Linked DNA regions of Coturnix japonica. The protein of the gene in region 1 interacts with the protein of each later gene in a pairwise test. Links are inferred from orthologs where the notes say so. Each region holds a gene or a part of one and is shown on either strand. Other genes may lie near its edges.

Region 1 (4,536 bases):
GGAGACCCTGGAGGAGCCCCCAGCCCCCTCACACTGAGGCTGACTCCATAACCAGCTGCCCCCTCCTGCTGTTCCCCCTTTCCAGCTGTGCTTTGCTGCAGGGGCTCTGTCCTCATCCCTGCGTGCCAACCGGGGGTGCCAGGCGGGGGGTCCTCATCCCTTGGGGTGTGGGGGTCATGCTGGGGTGGTAGTGGTGGGGGGACACTGTGAAGGGACACATGGAGCTGGGGGCACACCCAGGGCCAGCCGCCCCCTTCTGTCCCCAGTGTCAGAATGGGAGGTGTCTGGGTTGTTGGTGGCACTTGGGGACCTCATGGTGATGGAGACGTGGTGGGTTGGATCTTGTGGTGACAAGGATGTCCCAGTGCCAGGAGACCTCATGGGGGTGGAGGGACCTGGTGGTATGGGGACCCTACGGTGGGCAGCACCCAATGGGGGCACAGGGATCTGTGGGGATGATGTGGGACCCGACGGCCTCGAGACCCCACGGTGGCACAGGGGCCCCTGAGGACCATTTGGAGCTGTGACACCCCACACCCCACGGCCTCACAGCTCTCTCCTTTCCTCCTGCAGAACCAGAACCCGGCTCAGGCAGCGGCCCCGGGGGCCCACCAGCACCCAGCCCCCCCCGTGCCAAGCGTCGCCGCTCACCCCCCACCCACCAGGCTCTCCCTGGCCAGCCCTAAGAGTGCAGCCCCGCTGTGTCCCCGCTGTGTACATGGAGGTCCTGGTGCTACCCGGTGCCAATGCACCGGTCGGACCCCCCCAGCTTTTGGCCCTGCTGCTCTGCACCCCCGTGCTGGGGGGCACAGGGCCCCCACGGCCACCCCGGTGCTCGGGGGGCTGCATCCCGTGTGCCGTCCTGGCACTGCCTGGGCATTAAAGGTGTCCCCAGAGCCGTGTGTCACTGCTTGATGGGTGGGGACACGGGTGGGCGGCACCGAGGGGGGGACACCCATGGTATCCTATGACACCTATGGGACAATGGACACCCACACCGTGACACTCGTGGGACAAGCAATAGCAGCGTGTTGTCTGTGGGACACCCACACTGTGCCACGACACCCGTGGGACATCGCCCATAGCACGGCACCAGGGGGCACCCACAGCACAGCAGGGACACGCAGGGACACGCACTCACTGCTGTCACCAATGGGACACTCATAACGCACCACCAGTGGGACACCCACGCAGTGCCATGTCACCAGGGGGGCACTGACCCATAGCAGGGTCCCCACCCAGTGCTATGTCACCACTTGGATCCCTATTACAGGGAGCCATAGCCCCCCATACCCTCATACCCCCACGCACCATCACGCCACGCGTGACACGCTGCGCCCACATCCCGCCAACTCACGTGACGTCACGCTTAGCCACGCCCCCTTAGCCACGCCCACACCGAAGCCCCGCCCCCTCTCGCCGCTCCGTAACGGCGGCGGGCCGCACCACCCGCCGCTCAGCGCGGGGGGAGCCCTAAGCCCCGCCCACCGCAGCGCCCCCCATCGCCGATCGCAGTGGTGCGTCCCGCCGGGCGGGGCGGCGCATGCGCAGCGCGGGGCGGCCGCGGCGGCCGGACGTTGGGAGCGCGGAGGAGGAAGAAGAGAAAATGGCGTCGACGGGTGAGCGGGGCCGGGCGGAGCGGGGCGGCACACGGGGCTCCGAGGGGAGGGCACGGCGTGATGGGCGGGACGAGGGGCCGCGGGCCGGGCCGCACTCGGCCATACCGCATCCTTTATCGGAGCCTGGGCCTCAGGGCAGCCCGAGCTGAGGGGGGGCGTTGGGCCCTCGGTGCTGCGGCCTGTTGGGAGCCGGGCGGTGCGGGGCTGTGGGGCCGCGGTGCGGAGCGGGAGCGGCTGTGGCTGTGCTCGGCAGCACCGTGTCACTGCGCTGTGGGGGGTCGCCGTGATGCCGCTGCTGCTGGGCCCGGTCCTGACGCTTGGCCGGGTTTGTGGCGGTCAGCGAACGCTGCGAGGCCTCGTGGAGAGCGGCCCGGGCATCAATGGGGGCGCGCACGGTCGTTAGGGATGAGAGCGGGTGGGTCCGGCAACTAATAGCGACAGGATGGGGGAGGGATTTAAACTCCAATAGGGGAGAATGAGGTGAGGTGGTAACAGGAATCCGTCATTGAGAGGGCGGTGAGGCTGCACGGAGCTGTGTGTGCCCCATTCACTGCCCTGCTACAGGCCAGGGGTGGGCCCTGGGCAGCCTGAGCTGGTGGGGGGAGGTTGGGTGATATTTAAGGTTCCTTCCATCCCATTCTAAACAGCGTTTTTAACGTGATTCCATCACCTGCAGTGGTAGCAGGGTGGTGATGTTGTGCTGTTGATAGTCTTCAGGCAGCCTCTCCAAGCTCGCACTCCTCATTTTATTCAATAGAGACCAGTTTAACACAAGGTGTGGTGGCACACACTCCTCATTTTATTCAATAGAGACCAGTTTAACACAAGGTGTGGTAGCAGCAGAAACGTCAGAACCCTTTTCTGTGTGGGGCTGCCTGGCTCTGAGCAGAGCTCTGTGCACGTTTGGTTTCCGAGTCCAGCTCAGGATGCTACGAGCAAAGTCTGAACCTGTTCTTCATCTCTGTCCTTGGGACCTTTCCGGTCCTGGCAGAGCTGGAGGAGTGTCCCAGGAAAGATTTGCTCGTAGGGCTGGATTCATTGCTGCCATTTGCTCTAGGTGGGAACTGGAAACACTTGGTGGCTTGGAGGGAAAGAAAGCGTGCCCGTAGGAGCTGTAATCATTTCAAATATAGCCTGGTAATTGCCGTGTGCATGCATTTTCCATCCCTAGCAGCAAGCCAGTTCGGGAGAGGTTTTTTTTCTTCTGGTTGGATTTTCTGGATTTCAGTTTTGCTCTAAATCACACTATTTACATGGGCTGGAGCTTGGGGAAAGGAATTGCTGCCAGCTGCTGGTCGCAATCCCTCCTAGGGAAAAGAGAACTTGCCAGTGATGGGTTTGTGTCCTTGAGAGTTAAATAGACAAAGTGCTGTGTTTCGTACAGACTCAAGGGCTTACAACCTGGCCCTTTGAAACAGGGGGGTTTGTAAGTGTCAGCCCCCATGTTACCTTTGTTCCAAACCCCACTACCAGCCCCCTTGGGTGCCATCGAAAATGGCAGTTCAATTAAAGTGGGGTCATTTGAGATCAAAGTTGGTGCTGCAGACAGCAGAAACAATAAAGGGAAGAGAGGTTTTGTTTCCCTTTAGAAGGCTGAGAAAATGCATTTACCTTACTCTTTTGAAACTAGATTTCCAGGGGTTTATAGCAGTTCTTTCAAGTTGCTGGAGGAAATTCCAGCTGCTCTGCTCTTACACTGTTAATTTTGTTGAGTCTTTGTCAACCTTTCTTTCTGTTTTTGTTTCTCTTGTAGATTATAGCACCTATAGCCAAGCTGCAGCTCAGCAGGGGTAAGTAGCATTATGGCCTTTTATCATAAAAAGTTGTGATGTAAGTGTGTGGTAATTGTGGTTTAGTCTTAGCTCAGGTCTGCTTTGCAATCCCTTTGGTTTTCTATTGGATTATGTGCTGTTTTAACACTTGAGCAGAAAGATTTTGGCTTTAAAAGCCATTGTGTGATATCTGTATTGCACAAGTACTTGAATGCATCATAAACATCTTGAAATTCATTTTGCAGCTACAGCGCGTACGCACCTCAGCCAGCCCAAGGATACGCACAGACCACGCAGGTAAAGCACAGGAGGGGATTCTGACCCTTCCTGGGATCCCAGCAGCCACTTCTGAGCCCTGAAACATTCTGAGCAGCATCAAAACCTGTCATTAGGAGCTGCCTTGTAACTTCCCACACAGCCTGTGCTTAAAGTGAAACTGCCTTGATGTCTGGGAGCTTCCACATTCTCTTCCTTGTTAATATATCCCAGTTGTTGCCAAGAGGATTATAAAAACCTAATTCTTGGTGTACGTTTAACACTTACGTGTCGGAAGGGTGTTTTACTTGGTGGTGTGGGAGAGAGAAACCTGAAAAAGGAGTAAAAGAAAGGGGAAATTGCCATTTGTTTGATGGCAGCACTTGGAAAAGTTAGGAGGAGAGGATGGATTTCTTCCTTTTTCATGGAGCTGTTGTAGCTATTAGTATTGTAAGTTGGCTAAACTGCAAACTGCTGATGATCTTTCAGAGATGAATGATGCCTTTTTTTGTTTAATCCTTAGAATCCAAGTTACTGAAACCACAGTTATATGCAAAATACGAGTGTGGTTTTTTGAAGTCAACTTGGTTGACTTTCCCCAGCATCTCCAGACAGTGTTTTTTTTTTTTCTCAAAGGAAGATCCTGCCACCCAAAAGCACGTCTGTGTTCTGCACACAAAAGCTGTTGTTCTGGAGCATTACAGAGCAGAGCTAACTGGGCTTTGTGCTGCTGCCCACAACTGCCAGCTTGATGCGGATACAGAATCACACAGAATTACCCGGGTTGGAAGGGACCTCAAGGATCACGTAGTTCCAACCCCCCTGCCTAGCAGGGCCACCAAACATACACCTTTACTAGATCAGGTTGCCCAGGGCCCCGTCCAACCTGG
Region 2 (4,613 bases), about 4.1 Mb from region 1:
ATCCTACCCTTGTTGTTCATCATCCCCAGCCTGCTGGCAGGAGGGATCAGATAAGTGCTCCCTAATTGCTTTATGAGAAGCCAGATTACTGCATGCACTCGTTTTCACTGGCACATTAAGCCATCCTGGCTGACAGTGCAGAGAGCAGGCCGGGATGTGCTCATATAATCCCTTTGCTTGTAGAACACCAAAGCAGTAACCTCCAAAGGAAAAGCAGTGACAAACAGCTGGAGAAGATGCTGGCTTGATAGCACATCTGTTTCCAAGAGAAGCATCTCTCCATTGCCTAGGATATTTCAGGGGCAACTTAGTAAAGCTTTATATGATCTCTAATTAGATCCTTTTGAGTTCCTGTGCATAGCAAAGCTAAATAATATAACCCACACACTGCTACAGTGTGAGCTGTGTCCCACCATCACACCCACGTGGTTACAGTCCCATTGCAAAACTGAGGCTACATGAAAAACTTAACTCACATCTGTGACTGTGTGGAGAAACAGATCTGGGTACATCCAGATACATCTGTCTGCCCATAACTAACCCACTTGATCTACCAGCATCCTTAATGGCTAAGAAAGTTCATTTCTTGGAGTGTAATCACAGCATAGAGTCTAGATGCTATTTTAACATGCACCACTATGTTAATTCAACTCCTATGTGTCAACAGGAGTATTTAAGAACACATGCAACGAGCACAGCGGGTCAGGCCTGTCATCAACACCCACCTTGTGAAGCTGTCCAACAAATGCATGGCCCTTCTCGCTGCTCAGCTCACTAGCAAGCCTGTGGGCGGAGAAGCAGGGTTAGTTGTGAGCAAAGCTATGGCTCAGTGTGTGTTATACCCTGAGCAACAGTGGGTATCAGGGCTCACCCGATGGCGGAGCTCAGCTCATCCGTCGTCCCCAGAGCTTCAAAGATCCGATCACCCTTCGGTCTCCTCTCCCCAGTGAAGGTGCTGGAGAAACCTTTAAGAAGATCCAAAGGTGGAGGTCAGCAGTTGTGCTCCCCATTACCTCCAACCAAAGCCTTGGCAGAGCCTTACCTTCATCTCCCGTTCTCGTGTAGATTCTGGGGGTGCGGGTGATGCGAGGGCCTCGCTCAGAGCTGTGGGGAGACACAGGGATGAGGGGGATACAGGCACTGAGGGGGATATGGGCACTGAGGGGGATACGGGCCCTAAGGGAGATATGGGCACTGAGTGGGATATGGGCCCTAAAGGGGATATGGGCCCTGAGGGGGATACAGGCCCTAAAGAGCCCTGGGGTTGTACAGGCCCTGAGGGGACCTAGGCCTTAAAGGAGCACATCCCTGAGGCCCAATGCCACCCAGCCCCTTAGGGACCCCCTCGCCCCGTTCCCACACTCACCTGCCCGCCTCATCCCCGTGTCCTCTCCCCGTTACCCCCCACACGGTCCTACCGAGGCCCAGCCCCGCCGCCCTCCGTATCATCCCTCCCGGCCGCCGTACCCCCAAGTCACCCCATCGCCTCGCCACTCCGCTCTGCCTCTCTCCGATTGGCCTCTCCTAAACCCCGCCCCCGAACGGAGCTCAACGATTGGTGCGAGCTGAGGAAGGTGAGGCGGGGTGAGGCTGCTATTGGTTAATAGAGCCGTCACTCCGCTTGGCAGCCGGCGGAGCGGGAGCCTTGTAGGCCGCAGCGCTGTGGTGATGATGGAGCTCGGGCTGCTCGTGTCTGCCCCGGGGAAGGTGATTCTGCACGGGGAGCACGCTGTGGTGCACGGCAAGGTGAGGGTTATATCGTTATATCGTTATATCGCTCACTGGGGTGTTATAGCCCCGCTAACCGCCCTGTTTCTCCCTCAGGCCGCCCTGGCTGTGGCGTTGGGCCTACGCACCTTCCTACGGCTGCGGCCTGGAGATGGAGAGCGGCTCCGAGTCCATCTGCCCGGTGTCAGTGTGAGGAGGGAATGGGGCCTGGCCGAGCTCAGCGCATTGAGGGGCCGCGTCACAGGTGGGACCGACACTGATAGGTCAGGGGATGGGGCTGTGAGCACTGATGGGGCTGGGGGGGTCCCTGAGCACTGCAGGCAGTGGGGACACATGGGCTTTGGGGGGGCCCTTCCAGCTCAAACCATTCTGTATTGCAGTTTGAGGATGCCCAGGTTGCTTTTGTTATATCACTCAATTGGATATCAGCTAAAGGTTCTTTGCCAAGAGGCTTAGTGGGGCCCTTGGGGTGCTCTAATGGGGCATCCACTCTTCTTTGAGCTGGAAGGTTTGTAGATGGGATATAAAAGTAGCTCACAGAGTCTCTGTCTCATATAACAGATGTTGTTCTTTCAAGCTGATCAGTTTTCTGCTTTCCAAGTGTTTACATTCTCTCCCCTGCTTGCCTCCGTAGCTGACTTTGATGAATCAAAGTCCCCCAGCGTAGAACAGCTGGATGTGTTGAAAGAGTTTGCTGGAATTGCTGCCGATGCTTCAGCTCCTGACAGCCTTGCAGTTCTTGCCTTTCTTTATATGTGTCTGGCTATTTCAGCTAAGTATGGGTAAGGTTCTCCTCTTGCCCCAGAATAAACATGCTGACTCGAGTGTTCATCTTTAATTGCTTCCACAAGGTCACAAGAAGAAAGCAAATATCTGTTGCAAAAGAAGAAATGGAAGGGAATGGTGCTTTATTTCGGTTCTGTGCCTCAGGGGACTCTCTCAGAGCTCTGAGCAATGTGTGGGGGATGGGATGCCCCAGGCAGGTAGGGATTGTCTGCTCTCACTTAAGCACCTGACTTGGAGCTGCTTCAATCTCTGTACCTTTCCTGTACAGTCAATACAAGCAGATAGATGGACATCTGTTCTGGCCCAGCAGGAGTTTTCATTAGGATAGAAGAACATCTGTGGAGATGAGCTGTGAATTCAGTGTCTGGTTCCTTTTGTGGGGCTGAATCTCCTTCAGAACTTGAGAATTTGGGGTAACTACAGCTCAGGGCTGTTATAACCCAGACAAGTGCAGTGAAGGACAGGTGCGCATGATGGACACAGATGTGTCTCAGTGACCTTCATCTTGCTCCAGTAGATGCAGTGATACAGTTGTGGATTTGCAATACTTGGACTTTATTTAGAAATACATATAAAAGCATATTTTCAAGTCTTAGAAGGGTCTTTTTATGGTGCTACCCAAATGCTTAGTTACAAAGTGCCCCCGCTAGCAGCTTGACAAGCTGTGCTAATCATAGATCCAATTCAGCAAGGCTTTGTTCTAGCACAATGGCTTAGTGAGGCTACTCAGCTGTGCTGACTGAAGCCCGTGTGTGTTGGATGTGTTCTGCATGTGCTGATGTTGCCAGTTTTCAGCCAGCTTCTCTTGTGATCTGTCCCCATCGGCATCTTTTTTGCCATTGAAACGTTTCAAGATGGAATTTGAGGTCACCGTTACCACCTTTGTGTTTGTGTTTCAGAGATGTTCCCAGCGTGGACATAACAGTGTGGTCTGAGCTGCCTACAGGAGCTGGGCTGGGCTCTAGTGCTGCCTATGCCGTGTGCTTGGCGGCAGCATTGCTGTATGCCTGCAGAGCCATCTCCTGCCCTCTGAAAGATGGGGAGGCCACAGCCAGGTAACACCTCCAGGAAGCTTCCCTGCCTTCAATACACACTTTGGGGCTGGGGGGGGGGTTCTGTTTGTGACTGCTGTGCCCTGTGTTTTCTTAGCAAATTCCAGTACTTCTCTTGGTCTCTCTGTCTCTAAGCTGGGCTTAGATTCTAGTTGTGACAGTGGCACCCTAAACCCAGCTCCTTTCCCTTCCCCTCCCATTGCTGCCTGTCCTCCCAGCAGCAGAATTGTGCCCTGTTTGCAATTCATTCCTTCTGACAAAAGCAACTGGATGCAGAGATTTGGTGATACTCACACATTCTCCCCCCTGTCTGCTTTGTAAGATACAGACAGCTTTATTTTGTCATGAAAATAACACAAGCTCTTTAATATGATAGATAGATCTATCTTTTTTTTAACCTCAGTTTCTTCTCTGTGATCATCTTTTAGGTTTTACTTTGAGTCCTCCAGGAATCTTTGTGTCTTATTTTTTCTCCTGTGTTTTCATGTGGATATATATATATATAATTTTCCTTCATGTGGTCCATTTCCTTCTGATTTCCTGCCTGAATTTCCCCTTTATCAGTGGCTGCTGAAAAGGAGTTTCTTTCCCTCCACCCTGCCTTGCTTTCCATTGGAGCTCAAGCTTGAAAAACTGGTCTGCTCTGCTGTGTGTCTAAGGAGGCTCTGTTTAAAGATGCATATCACAGCTGGAGCTGCAGAACCCTCCATTGTTCACTGCCTGCCAGGTGCAACCTTTTACAGTTGCCTTGCTGTGGATTTTGTGTGGGCCTGAAAGTGAGACAGCGAGAGGGGATGGCTGTGTTCTGCTTCAGAACCCGACATAGCAGTCGGACCCAGAACCACATTCAAGTGGAGCCATTAGTGAGCAGCAATCAGGGCAGATCTCCCTGTAGTCAGAAATGAAAGGCCAGTTCTGAAGCAGCCAGCAAGCAGCGTGGATGTCTTCATTCCCTGCTCTCACTTCTTTAGCTTCAGCTTGAATACAGCGTGATTTCTTTCCTTCCAGCTGGCACGCGGAGGGGTGAGAGATGGGGGTGTCAGACTT
Region 3 (4,500 bases), on another chromosome or scaffold:
TGGAGCTTTAGCAATCCAGGCACGTTTTTCCTGCTTGGAGCTGCTCACGTGGTTGCAGAGATGATCAGCAGACATCCCATAGCAGGAGCAATACCTTCAGTTTAGTGCTGGCCTAAGAAAAAGTTTTCCAGCTTGTCTCCTCTGCAGCAAGCAATTGAAAATGTGATTCTCCAGAGAACGGAGGGACATTATTTCATGTTATCATCTGTCAGTGGGATCCGTGGCTGGAAGCCAAGCAGCAAACGGCACAAAACTCATTGAGAGACTGAAGATTGCAACACCGGACCAGAAAACAGTGTCAGCAATTGGGCAGGGGGAGGGGAGAACAGGAAGAGGATTGCGAAAGGCCTGGAGCCATGAGGGAGGGAGAGGGTGGGGAAGAAGAGACAGTCAGGTGGGTTTCACTGATGTGAATTTTCTCATTCCTGTTCACTGAAGAACAAGTGAAGGGAACTGTCCCTGCTGCCGCCAGCCACAACCTGCAGCTCTGAGCTCTGAAAGCAGCTCGTGCAATGGCCTGATGTGTGATCAGGGCTCTACTGATGTGTGATCAGGGCTCCAGCGTGCAAAGAAAATGTACCCCAAGAAATCCACTCCTTGTCACAAGGCACCCATAGTGGAACACCAGCGACTGTCAGTGTCTGCCATGACAGCTCACCTGCTCATAACTTACTGTGTCCAGGTGTGGAGCCCTCAGTACAAAAAAGACATGGAGATTTTGGAAAGGGTCCAGAGGAGGGACAGGAAGATGATCAGGGGGCTGGAGCACCTCAACTATGAGGACAGGCTGAGGGAGTTGGGTTTGTTCAGCCTGGAGAAGAGAAGGTTGCGGGGTGACCTCATGGCAGCCTTTCAATACCTGAAGGGAACTTACTTGCCAGGAGGGGGTAAACTCTTGGAAAGGGCTGATAATGGCAGGACACGGGGAAATGGTTTTAAGTTAAAAGAGGGAAGATTTAGGTTGGATGTTAGGGGAAGTTCTTCACTAGGAGAGTGGTCAGGCCCTGGAACAGGCTGCACCAGGGAGGTTGTGGATGTTCGCGTCCTTGGAGGTGTTCAAGACCAGGTTGGACGGGGCCCTGGGCAACCTGATCTAGTAAAGGTGTATGTTTGGTGGCCCTGCCAGGCAGGGGGTTGGAACTACATGATCCTTGAGGTCCCTTCCAACCCGGGTCATTCTGTGATTCACAACAAGCAGCAGCGCTTCCTTTCCAGCTCCATCCAGTTCATCTCATCTCCTCAATAGGGCGCATTTGCACTTTGAACCAGTTTTATGACTTTATCTTTACTTCAACAAGCTTCTGCCTTGAGAAAGAGCACTTATTAACTCAGGACAACGTCATTTTTGGATGTTGTGTTGAGGAATATGATTTAGGCGGGAAGTATTGGTAATACTTGGACTAGATGATCTTCTAGATCTTTTCCAACCTTGATAATTCTGTGATTTTCAAAGCCATTTATTTGATGATCTCGCTGTTCCATCCCATCCCCATCCCTGCAGGCATTCAAGCCCAGGCTGGATGTGGCTCTGGGCAGCCTGTGCTGCTGGTTGGTGACCCTGCACACAGCAGGGGGTCGCTCCTACAGCTGGGTAGGGCACAGTGTGTGTGGGGTGGGGGCTGAAGGAAGTAATGGCGACATGGGGGCGGTGTTAATGGCAGCGGGCGGTGCTTCTGGTGCTCGCCCTTCCTGTCGCTGTTAGGGCGGGCCGTGTGACGCAGTTCCTGTTCCTCCTTGCCGTAGCGGTGTTGGTGGTGCTGCGGGCCGCCCGCTGCCTCCACTCCGGCCTGTGCTGCGCTGCGCTTCTACCGCAGGTACCGGCCCCAACACGGGCACCATCACACAGGGATGAGGGGTGGGGATGGAGGAACGGAGCTATGGGGTGCAGCGCCCCTCCCTACAGCCATAGGGCCGCCCCCGGGGGCTGCTGGGCCGTGCCCATCCAGGCCCTGTGCAGCGGGGCGGTGCCGAGGGTCGCGGCGCTGAGGGGAGGGGCGAGGAGCTGAGCTGGATGGGCTGGAACAGCGATATAGGGCTCGGGGGGAGGGGAGCGACCTGCTGCGGCCGGGGGGTGTGCTGGGGGGATCTGGGCTCAGCCTGTGGATGGGTATAGAAATGATGTATAAATAACTGTGAAGCGTTTTACGTGGAGAGAAATGCAAGCGGTTATTGCGTCTGTACCTTCAGTGGGAGGGAGGGATACTGAGTTGGGCCTAAAAACCCACCTCTTAAATGGTTGAAGAGATGGGGTTGGACTCGATGATCTCCAGGGGTCCCTTCCAACCCCTACAGTTCTGTGGTTCTGTGATGTCCCCAATCTGTTGTAGCTTGTGAGAAGTCGTTTCGTTGTCTCAGGTGGTGACTCACTGACAAAGGGAGCACAGTGCACTATTGAAGAGCCCTGGACTGCTTATCAGCTGCTTATGAGCTGCTTATGAGCTGCTGATCTACCTGGGGAGCTGCTTATCTCCCAGGGAAGGGGTATTTTGAGGTGCATCCCATGGAAGGCACGAATCACCTCCTGCTGTTTGTTCAACCGTTTAGTCCGGGGATGTAGGAAACAAAAAGGCCTTTATTCTTTAAATAATAGCTCTTTTAAAAGGCACATCCCAAAGCTTCCCTTCCTTAGGTGGGACCGATGAGAGGAGAGGCACTGTAGGTATTTTTGAAGCTGGAGTTCATTCAAGCAGACCTTAACAGTGTGAATTCAAACATGAAAAGGTACCAACCGCGTCCATTTATTGAGGCTGTATCCTGAAAAGCTTCCTGGAAAGGAATCTCTGCAGAAGGGTGTGGAGTTTAGTTCGTCATCGGTGAGGCTGATACTGGCAGATGACACAGAGTTTTGGTGTTGCTTTAAAAACAACCCGGTGCTGGAGGACCTTTGCTAAGTGCTCGTGTTTAGCTGACAATTCACAAGTATATAGCGTTGATAGGAGGAAGATGGAGGTGATCACCCAGTCCCAACCCCCTGCTGTGTGCAGGGTCACCAACCAGCAGCCCAGGCTGCCCAGAGCCACATCCAGCCTGGCCTTGAATGCCTGCAGGGATGGGGCATCCACAGCCTCCTTGGGCAACCTGTTCCAGTGCGTCACCACCCTCTGGGTGGAAAACTTGCTCGTAAGTTGTAGCCAGGATTGAGCTTTGGCAATGGACACTTGCAGTTCTCAGCAGTGATTTCTAGTCGCTGGTTTGGGCATCATCTGTTTGTAAGCACCTGAAGTGATCAGGTCTCATCTTAGGAAGGGGGGCAGCTGTAAAACGGAACAGCTTGTCTTATATGGAGGAACAGAACAGCTTACAATTCCTTCTGGCTGTATATTTTACAGGTCTTGGAAACTGGTAAGACTTGTGTTTTGAATTGTTTTTTCTGGTAGTGGGTAATTTATAGCAAAGGCGCTAACGAGCATCATTGTGGTTGTCATTGTGGATGAGATCAGTGCTGACAATCTGAAGCCTAAAAACCCTCCTTCTGCCTTCTTTTCCGTCAAAGCAGGCGTAGGAAAGAACAGAAAGATCGCCGCATCGAAAGCAGCTGCTAACTATGAATCTGTTGCTTTTCATCTTCGGTCTGACTGCCATTTATTCTCCTAATGGGTAAAGGCGCAGGTCAGGCTAAATGGTTGCACAGTGCTCGAGTGTGGCATCTTTGAGATGATCTTTTAGACCCTAAAAATGGAGAAGGGACAGCTATAAACTGCTGGTGCTTGAGGCCTAAATGGAGCAGCTGCAGTAGAAGCTGTCATTGGTTTCTTTTCCATTTGATCTGCGTAGCTGTGTTGGATAGTTACAGTTATGTGGGCAGGACTCCTGTTGTAGATGAGGTTTTGCTGGTAGGCATTAGTCATGTCACAGTGACAGAAGAAGCTCTTTGCTGATAGAGCTGTGCCACCCAGTGGAAATGCAGCTGTGCCTGTTGTTGCACTGAGGTTTTCTGTTGTTGTTTGGAAGATGATCTCGGGGGAGGCAACTCTGAAAGGGCAGATAACAGCAGGACAAGGGGAAATGGATTGAAGTTGAAGGATGGAGGATTTAGGTTGGATGTCAGGGGGAAGTTCTTTACTGTGAGAGTGGTGAGGTGCTGGAACAGCTGCCCAGAGAGGCTGTGGATGCCCCGTCCATCCCTGGAGGTGTTCAAGGCCAGGTTGGATGGGGCCCTGGGCAGCCTGGACTGGTATCAATTGTGGAGGTTGGTGGCCCTGCCTGTGGTGGGGGGTTGGAGCTTCGTGATCCTTGAGGTCCCTTCCAACCAGGGATATTCTGTGATCTCAGAGATGGGAACTGAATCTGTCACATCAATAGTGAGCAAAGTGCCATGCAGCTGATGAAGTTATGAAAGCAGTTTGAATCGCTTTAGCAACAGAAGGAAGAAGGGTTTGGGGCAGCTCATTCTAATGGCAGTCACCAGGGACCGGTGATGGAGAAAAGCCAGGGAGGGCAAGAGCATGGGAAAAATGCTCCTGCATCGCTCATTTCCATGTGGTTCTGGTGGAAGCAGAG
Region 4 (4,627 bases), on another chromosome or scaffold:
ATGTCTCCGTCAGAACAAACTGTAGTGGGTACAGTCATGCTGTTGACAAGTAGAAGACTGGATGTGAAAGCAGAGGGCACAGTTCACACTGCCCCATCTACTGACCCTGGGGCTCTGACTTTGCTCCCCAATGCCGAGCCATGCACCAGGCTGCAGCACTGCTGCACACCCAGCCTGGGTGCCCCGATCCAAGAGACTCACAGCAGGAACAGCGCTGTGATTTGCTACAGGAAAACATGCATCAATGCCTGGCTTCCCCATGCACTAACTCCACACCTCTACCCAAATTGAATGTGCCAGCACCTCTGACTAAAAATAAAGCACGCAGGGTGACAGTGACTCCAGAGAGGATTAGGAAAGCCCCATTCTGCAGAACTGTCTGCTCACATTCCCATTACAGCAGAACTGCTGCACCCCTCCCCTGGTTCCTCACGCAGCCACTGGCACCATGGGATGAGGAACACAAAGCCCAGCACAGGGACCTGGATCCCTGCTGAGTTCCAGCCAGGCCTGAAATACAGGCTGTCCCACTGCTCGGGACTTCCTGGGCACCTCCCAACACGAGGCAGGATCCCACCCTTCCTCATGGCAGCCCAGAGGCACACGGGCACCCCAGGCCTGAGGGGAACGAGAAGGAGAGTCCTGCTGGCAATAGCAGGACATGGGGAAATGGTTTTAAGTTAAAAGAGGGAAGATTTAAGTTGGATGTCAGGGGGAAGTTCTTCACTAGGAGAGTGGTTAGGCCCTGGAACAGGCTGCCCAGGGAGGTTGTGGATGCCCCGTCCTTGGAGGTGTTCAAGGCCTGGTTGGACGGGGCCATGGGCAACCTGATCTATGGGGTCTCTATGGGGATCTATGGGGTCTCCTGGGCAACCTGATGTAATAAATGTGTATGTTTGGTGGCCCTGCCAGGCAGGGGGTTGGAACTACATGATCCTTGAGGTCCCTTCCAACCCGGGTCATTCTGTGATTCTGAGAGCTGCTGTTAAGTATCTCAGCAGCCACAAGGAGAAAAGGGGCAAAAGTGTGAGAGGAAAAGAGAGGAAGGACCCCGGGTCCCATCAGCCCTGAGGGGATGGAGCAGTGAGGGGCAGTGAGAGCCGGGTGGGGGCTGCAGGAAGGGCCGGGGCTGCAGGGAGGAGCTTATGGAGATGGGGGGGATCGGGGCCGGGCGGAATCAAGGCGAGGGGAACCCGGACAGCGGGGAGCAGAGGGGAAGGAAGGGAAGGAAGGGAGGGAAGCAGGGAAGGCCTGAGGCCCAGCGGGGCCCTGTGGGCGCCGGACACGGTCCCTCACCTGCATGACGACCTCCACCTCGTACGCGTTGCCTTTACTGCGCTGCTGCCCGCGGAACTTGGCCCCGCTGTACAGCAGGGATGTGGCCACTCCGGGCTGCGCCGTGTTGATGGGAGGCGGCGGCACCAAACTGCTGGCGGCCGCTCCGGACGGAGCCGATGATGCCGGTCCCGCCGCTCCGCCCGCTCGGCCCCGCTCGCTGCGCACCGGCATCTCGGGGGGGTCCCCGGGCGCCAGCGTGGCCGGGGCTCAGCGGCCGCCACCGGGGCCGCGCTCCGCTCCGCTCCCCTCACGCCCAGGCCGCCGCCGCCGCCGCCTGGCTCGGGGCCTCCCGGCAACGCCCCCGCGCTCTCCCATTGGCCCTCGCGAAGCGGCGAGAAGGCGGGGCGGAGCTCCGATTGGCGGAGAGCTCTCCTTCCCGGCAGGTTTTACGGTGAGGAGGCTGCTGGGAAATGTAGTTTGTTCGCCTCGCGCCTCACGCGACGGGAAGGCCGAAGGGGCAAAGCGCGTTCTGTGCTCCCATTGGGCGGAGCGGGGCAACATGGCGGCGCCCGGGGCGACAAGCTGAGCCGGGGGAGGCCGCTCCGAGCCGGGGTAGGCCGCAACGCTCCAGCTCCGTTCGCCGCCCCTCATCGTTCCTCTCGGCTCCTCATCGTTCTCTTCGGCTCCTCCGCCGCCATGTGCCGCCTCCTGCAGGCCCTGGGCCGCATCCCGGCTGTGGCAGCCCGGAGCCGCCCGCTGTGTCCGGGTGGGAGTCGAACATACGCCCCTCCCGCAGGTGAGGAGCTGTGGGCCCCGCGGGGAGGAGCCCGGAGCCCCGTGTGAGAGCGGGGGAACGCGGGGGGTGTCGGTGTGTGTGTGTGTGGGGGGGGATTAGTGGGAGCCCCCTCCTCAAGGTCAGCTCTTGCTGGCTGGGGGAGGGGTTGGGTTCCGGCCTTCAGAATGGGCTGAAGAAAGGAGGAAGAGGGAAAATGGGCTCCGAGGTGGGTAAGGAGGTGGTGGGGCGTCACTGCGCTGCTTTTCCATCAGTGGGTTTGAAGGTTCCCTTTGGTTGCGGGTGGGATGGCGGGGAGCTCCACCAGCCCCTCCCAGGCACGTGCTGGGCTGTGCAGCCCCTCTACAGATATTGCTGGAAACACGAGGATGGGAGTCAGGGTTTCATTGAGTATCATGAGGCCAATGGGAACACGCTGAGGTGCCTGAATCCTCCCAGAGCTGTGCTCCAGCACTGCAGCATTTCCTGAGGCCCTGAAGCTTGTAGGAGGCTGAGTGGATCCCCATCCTTCTCTCTGCTGGGCCCGTGTTGGCAGGGCACAGTTCAGTGACAGCCAGGAGGTGGATTCAATGGGCTCAGCATTTACGAGCTGGTTGTAATTGTCAAGGGAATCTTCTGGGTGAGACGTGTGGGCTGCGGTGAGCTGAGGACAGTGGTTCCTCCCCAGTGACTCAGCTGCCACGTGCAACGTGTCTGACACATGATCCAGTTGCTGCTGCACATAGGGTTCATGGTTCCTCCAAGTGGTGTCTGCAAGAAATCTGCTCCTATGGGTGGTCAGGAGATCTGGGGCATTGCTGTGGATGTCACCAGTATTGTGACACCTCCCAGGTTGAATAGAACTCACTGGAATGGAGAGGGGCTTGAATGAGTGGGATTTTGTGGCTGTTCTGTGGGCTGCAGCAGCTCTGAGGGCTCCCTGTGTTCTGACAAACCTCCCCTTGCCACCCTTTCAATTGCTCTGTTTTCAACCCCCCAGAGAGGAAGCGGTTTTACCAGAACGTGAGCATCTCACAAGGAGAAGGTGAGTGGAGCTGCTGGGGCAGGCGAGGGCTGGTACTCACACGGGGGTTACCATCACAAGGCAGTGCTGTGTCTGCAGCCCCTGTTGTGAGCTGGGCTGTCTGTCACCCACATGCTCTGCCCTTGTCCTCATCCATAGTAAAACCATGTGGTGGGAAAGTTTCCAGCATCATCTGGGGAAGAGCAATGTCAAAACATTGATGTTGGTGGGAAAATTGCTGATTCCTTGCTCCCTTCAGCTCCAGCTCTGAGCTTGTTCCCTCTATGGGGTAGTCTGTTGTTCCTTAGTGCCTGCTCCTCTTTAATTCCCCAGGATTTCTACTCTGATTCCCCAGGAGGCTTTGAAATCAACCTGGACCACCGGAAGCTGAAAACACCCCAGGCCAAGCTCTTCACTGTCCCCAGTGAGGCCTTGGCCATTGCAGTGGCAACAGAATGGGACTCTCAGAAAGACACCATCAAGTTCTACACTATGCACCTGGTGAGCACAGCAGGTCAGAGTGCTGAAGCACAAAAATGGTCTCCAGAGGCAGAACACAGAGAGAGACCAGGCTGTCCTAATGTCAATTGAAGTGGGAACAGGAGTTCAGTGCCTTGGCTGAGTACTGTGGATAACTTAAGGCTGAGCAGGCAGCTGGATGCTGGCTACAGGACTGGGAGGGAAACCCGTGTCACTGGGGAGTTTGAGAAGGGGATGGAGAGCATTTCTGGGGATAGCAAGGGGTATGAACAGGTTGGATAGACTCTATTATATGAGCCATGTTCTGACTCTATGTTTCCCTCTTAAGTAAGCTCCTTGATTCTTGCAGTCTGTCCCAAATTCTTCTGCTTATCTTGACCTAGTACACTGGAAACTGCTGCTTCCTTGAGCTTTAGATAACAGTGATTTCAGTTGCCTTTATCCTGCAGACCACACTGTGCAACACAGCTCTGGACAATCCCACTCAGCGAAACAAGGTGCAGCTGATCCGTGCAGCTGTGAAGTTCCTGGAGACTGACACTGTCTGGTAAGGGACTGCGGGATGCACTGGCACAGAGGTGGGGTTGTCTTGTTGTAGAGTGGTTGAGAGAACTGAGGGAAAATGTCTGTTCTAACCAAGTCATTGCAGGGCTCTGCTCTGTCCTGGCTTTGGCCCAGGGGTTTGAATTAGTTTAGACGAGTCCTATGTCCACCAACCTAGTGGAACTCCATGCATTTAAAGGGCATAGATACAAAGAACAGGGACCTGTTTCTTTGTTGAAATCTGTTTGGAGATGTCCATGTTGGACAGGGAGCAGGAGCAGCAAGAAATGTAGTGGGAAAAGCAAAGAAAGGCTTGGGAGAATGTCAGCTCAGTCCCCTGGCACTCCAGTAGCATAAAGGTGTAGTAAGCTTAGATTACCTGTACTAGTAGTAAAATGCCCTTTGCTCCTTAAAGCTCCTGTGGGTTGCAGGATCCAGCCTACCCAAGCTCACGTCTCACAATCTCAGCCTCTGAGGTGTCCACTGGCAGCTGCTTTGCTCCTGAAGGGAGAGGGAAACCAGATTCACCT

Evidence for each region.
Region 2: the proteins of EWSR1 (region 1) and MVK interact in a two-hybrid assay, tested with the Homo sapiens proteins (2 studies listed by BioGRID and IntAct). The two-hybrid records come from large-scale screens. The link is inferred for Coturnix japonica from reciprocal best matches to the Homo sapiens genes EWSR1 and MVK.
Region 3: the proteins of EWSR1 (region 1) and MAPK1IP1L interact in binary tests that used the Homo sapiens proteins (3 or more experiments, as listed by UniProt). The link is inferred for Coturnix japonica from reciprocal best matches to the Homo sapiens genes EWSR1 and MAPK1IP1L.
Region 4: the proteins of EWSR1 (region 1) and ATPAF2 interact in binary tests that used the Homo sapiens proteins (3 or more experiments, as listed by UniProt). The two-hybrid records come from large-scale screens. The link is inferred for Coturnix japonica from reciprocal best matches to the Homo sapiens genes EWSR1 and ATPAF2.

What each region holds. Positions count from the first base shown.
Region 1 is NC_029530.1:9,977,359-9,981,894, reverse strand, and holds the start of EWSR1 (RNA-binding protein EWS), read left to right. Parts: upstream 1-1,520; 5' UTR 1,521-1,543; coding exon 1,544-1,619; intron 1,620-3,372; coding exon 3,373-3,409; intron 3,410-3,636; coding exon 3,637-3,688; intron 3,689-4,536. Other genes in the region: EMID1 (EMI domain-containing protein 1), read left to right, coding at 574-686. UniProt on the Homo sapiens protein: Binds to ssRNA containing the consensus sequence 5'-AGGUAA-3'. Might normally function as a transcriptional repressor. EWS-fusion-proteins (EFPS) may play a role in the tumorigenic process.
Region 2 is NC_029530.1:5,902,610-5,907,222, forward strand, and holds the start of MVK (mevalonate kinase), read left to right. Parts: upstream 1-1,606; 5' UTR 1,607-1,668; coding exon 1,669-1,746; intron 1,747-1,824; coding exon 1,825-1,972; intron 1,973-2,362; coding exon 2,363-2,510; intron 2,511-3,413; coding exon 3,414-3,569; intron 3,570-4,613. Other genes in the region: MMAB (corrinoid adenosyltransferase), read right to left, coding at 726-783, 872-965, 1,043-1,104, 1,367-1,449. UniProt on the Homo sapiens protein: Catalyzes the phosphorylation of mevalonate to mevalonate 5-phosphate, a key step in isoprenoid and cholesterol biosynthesis.
Region 3 is NC_029520.1:51,141,094-51,145,593, reverse strand, and holds the start of MAPK1IP1L (MAPK-interacting and spindle-stabilizing protein-like), read left to right. Parts: upstream 1-1,685; 5' UTR 1,686-1,814; intron 1,815-4,500.
Region 4 is NC_029529.1:5,012,304-5,016,930, reverse strand, and holds the start of ATPAF2 (ATP synthase mitochondrial F1 complex assembly factor 2), read left to right. Parts: upstream 1-1,652; 5' UTR 1,653-1,974; coding exon 1,975-2,074; intron 2,075-2,446; exon of another isoform or gene 2,447-2,771; coding exon of another isoform or gene 2,772-2,847; intron 2,848-3,050; coding exon 3,051-3,095; intron 3,096-3,429; coding exon 3,430-3,575; intron 3,576-4,003; coding exon 4,004-4,101; intron 4,102-4,627. Other genes in the region: GID4 (glucose-induced degradation protein 4 homolog), read right to left, coding at 1,297-1,509. UniProt on the Homo sapiens protein: Plays a role in the assembly of the F1 component of the mitochondrial ATP synthase (ATPase).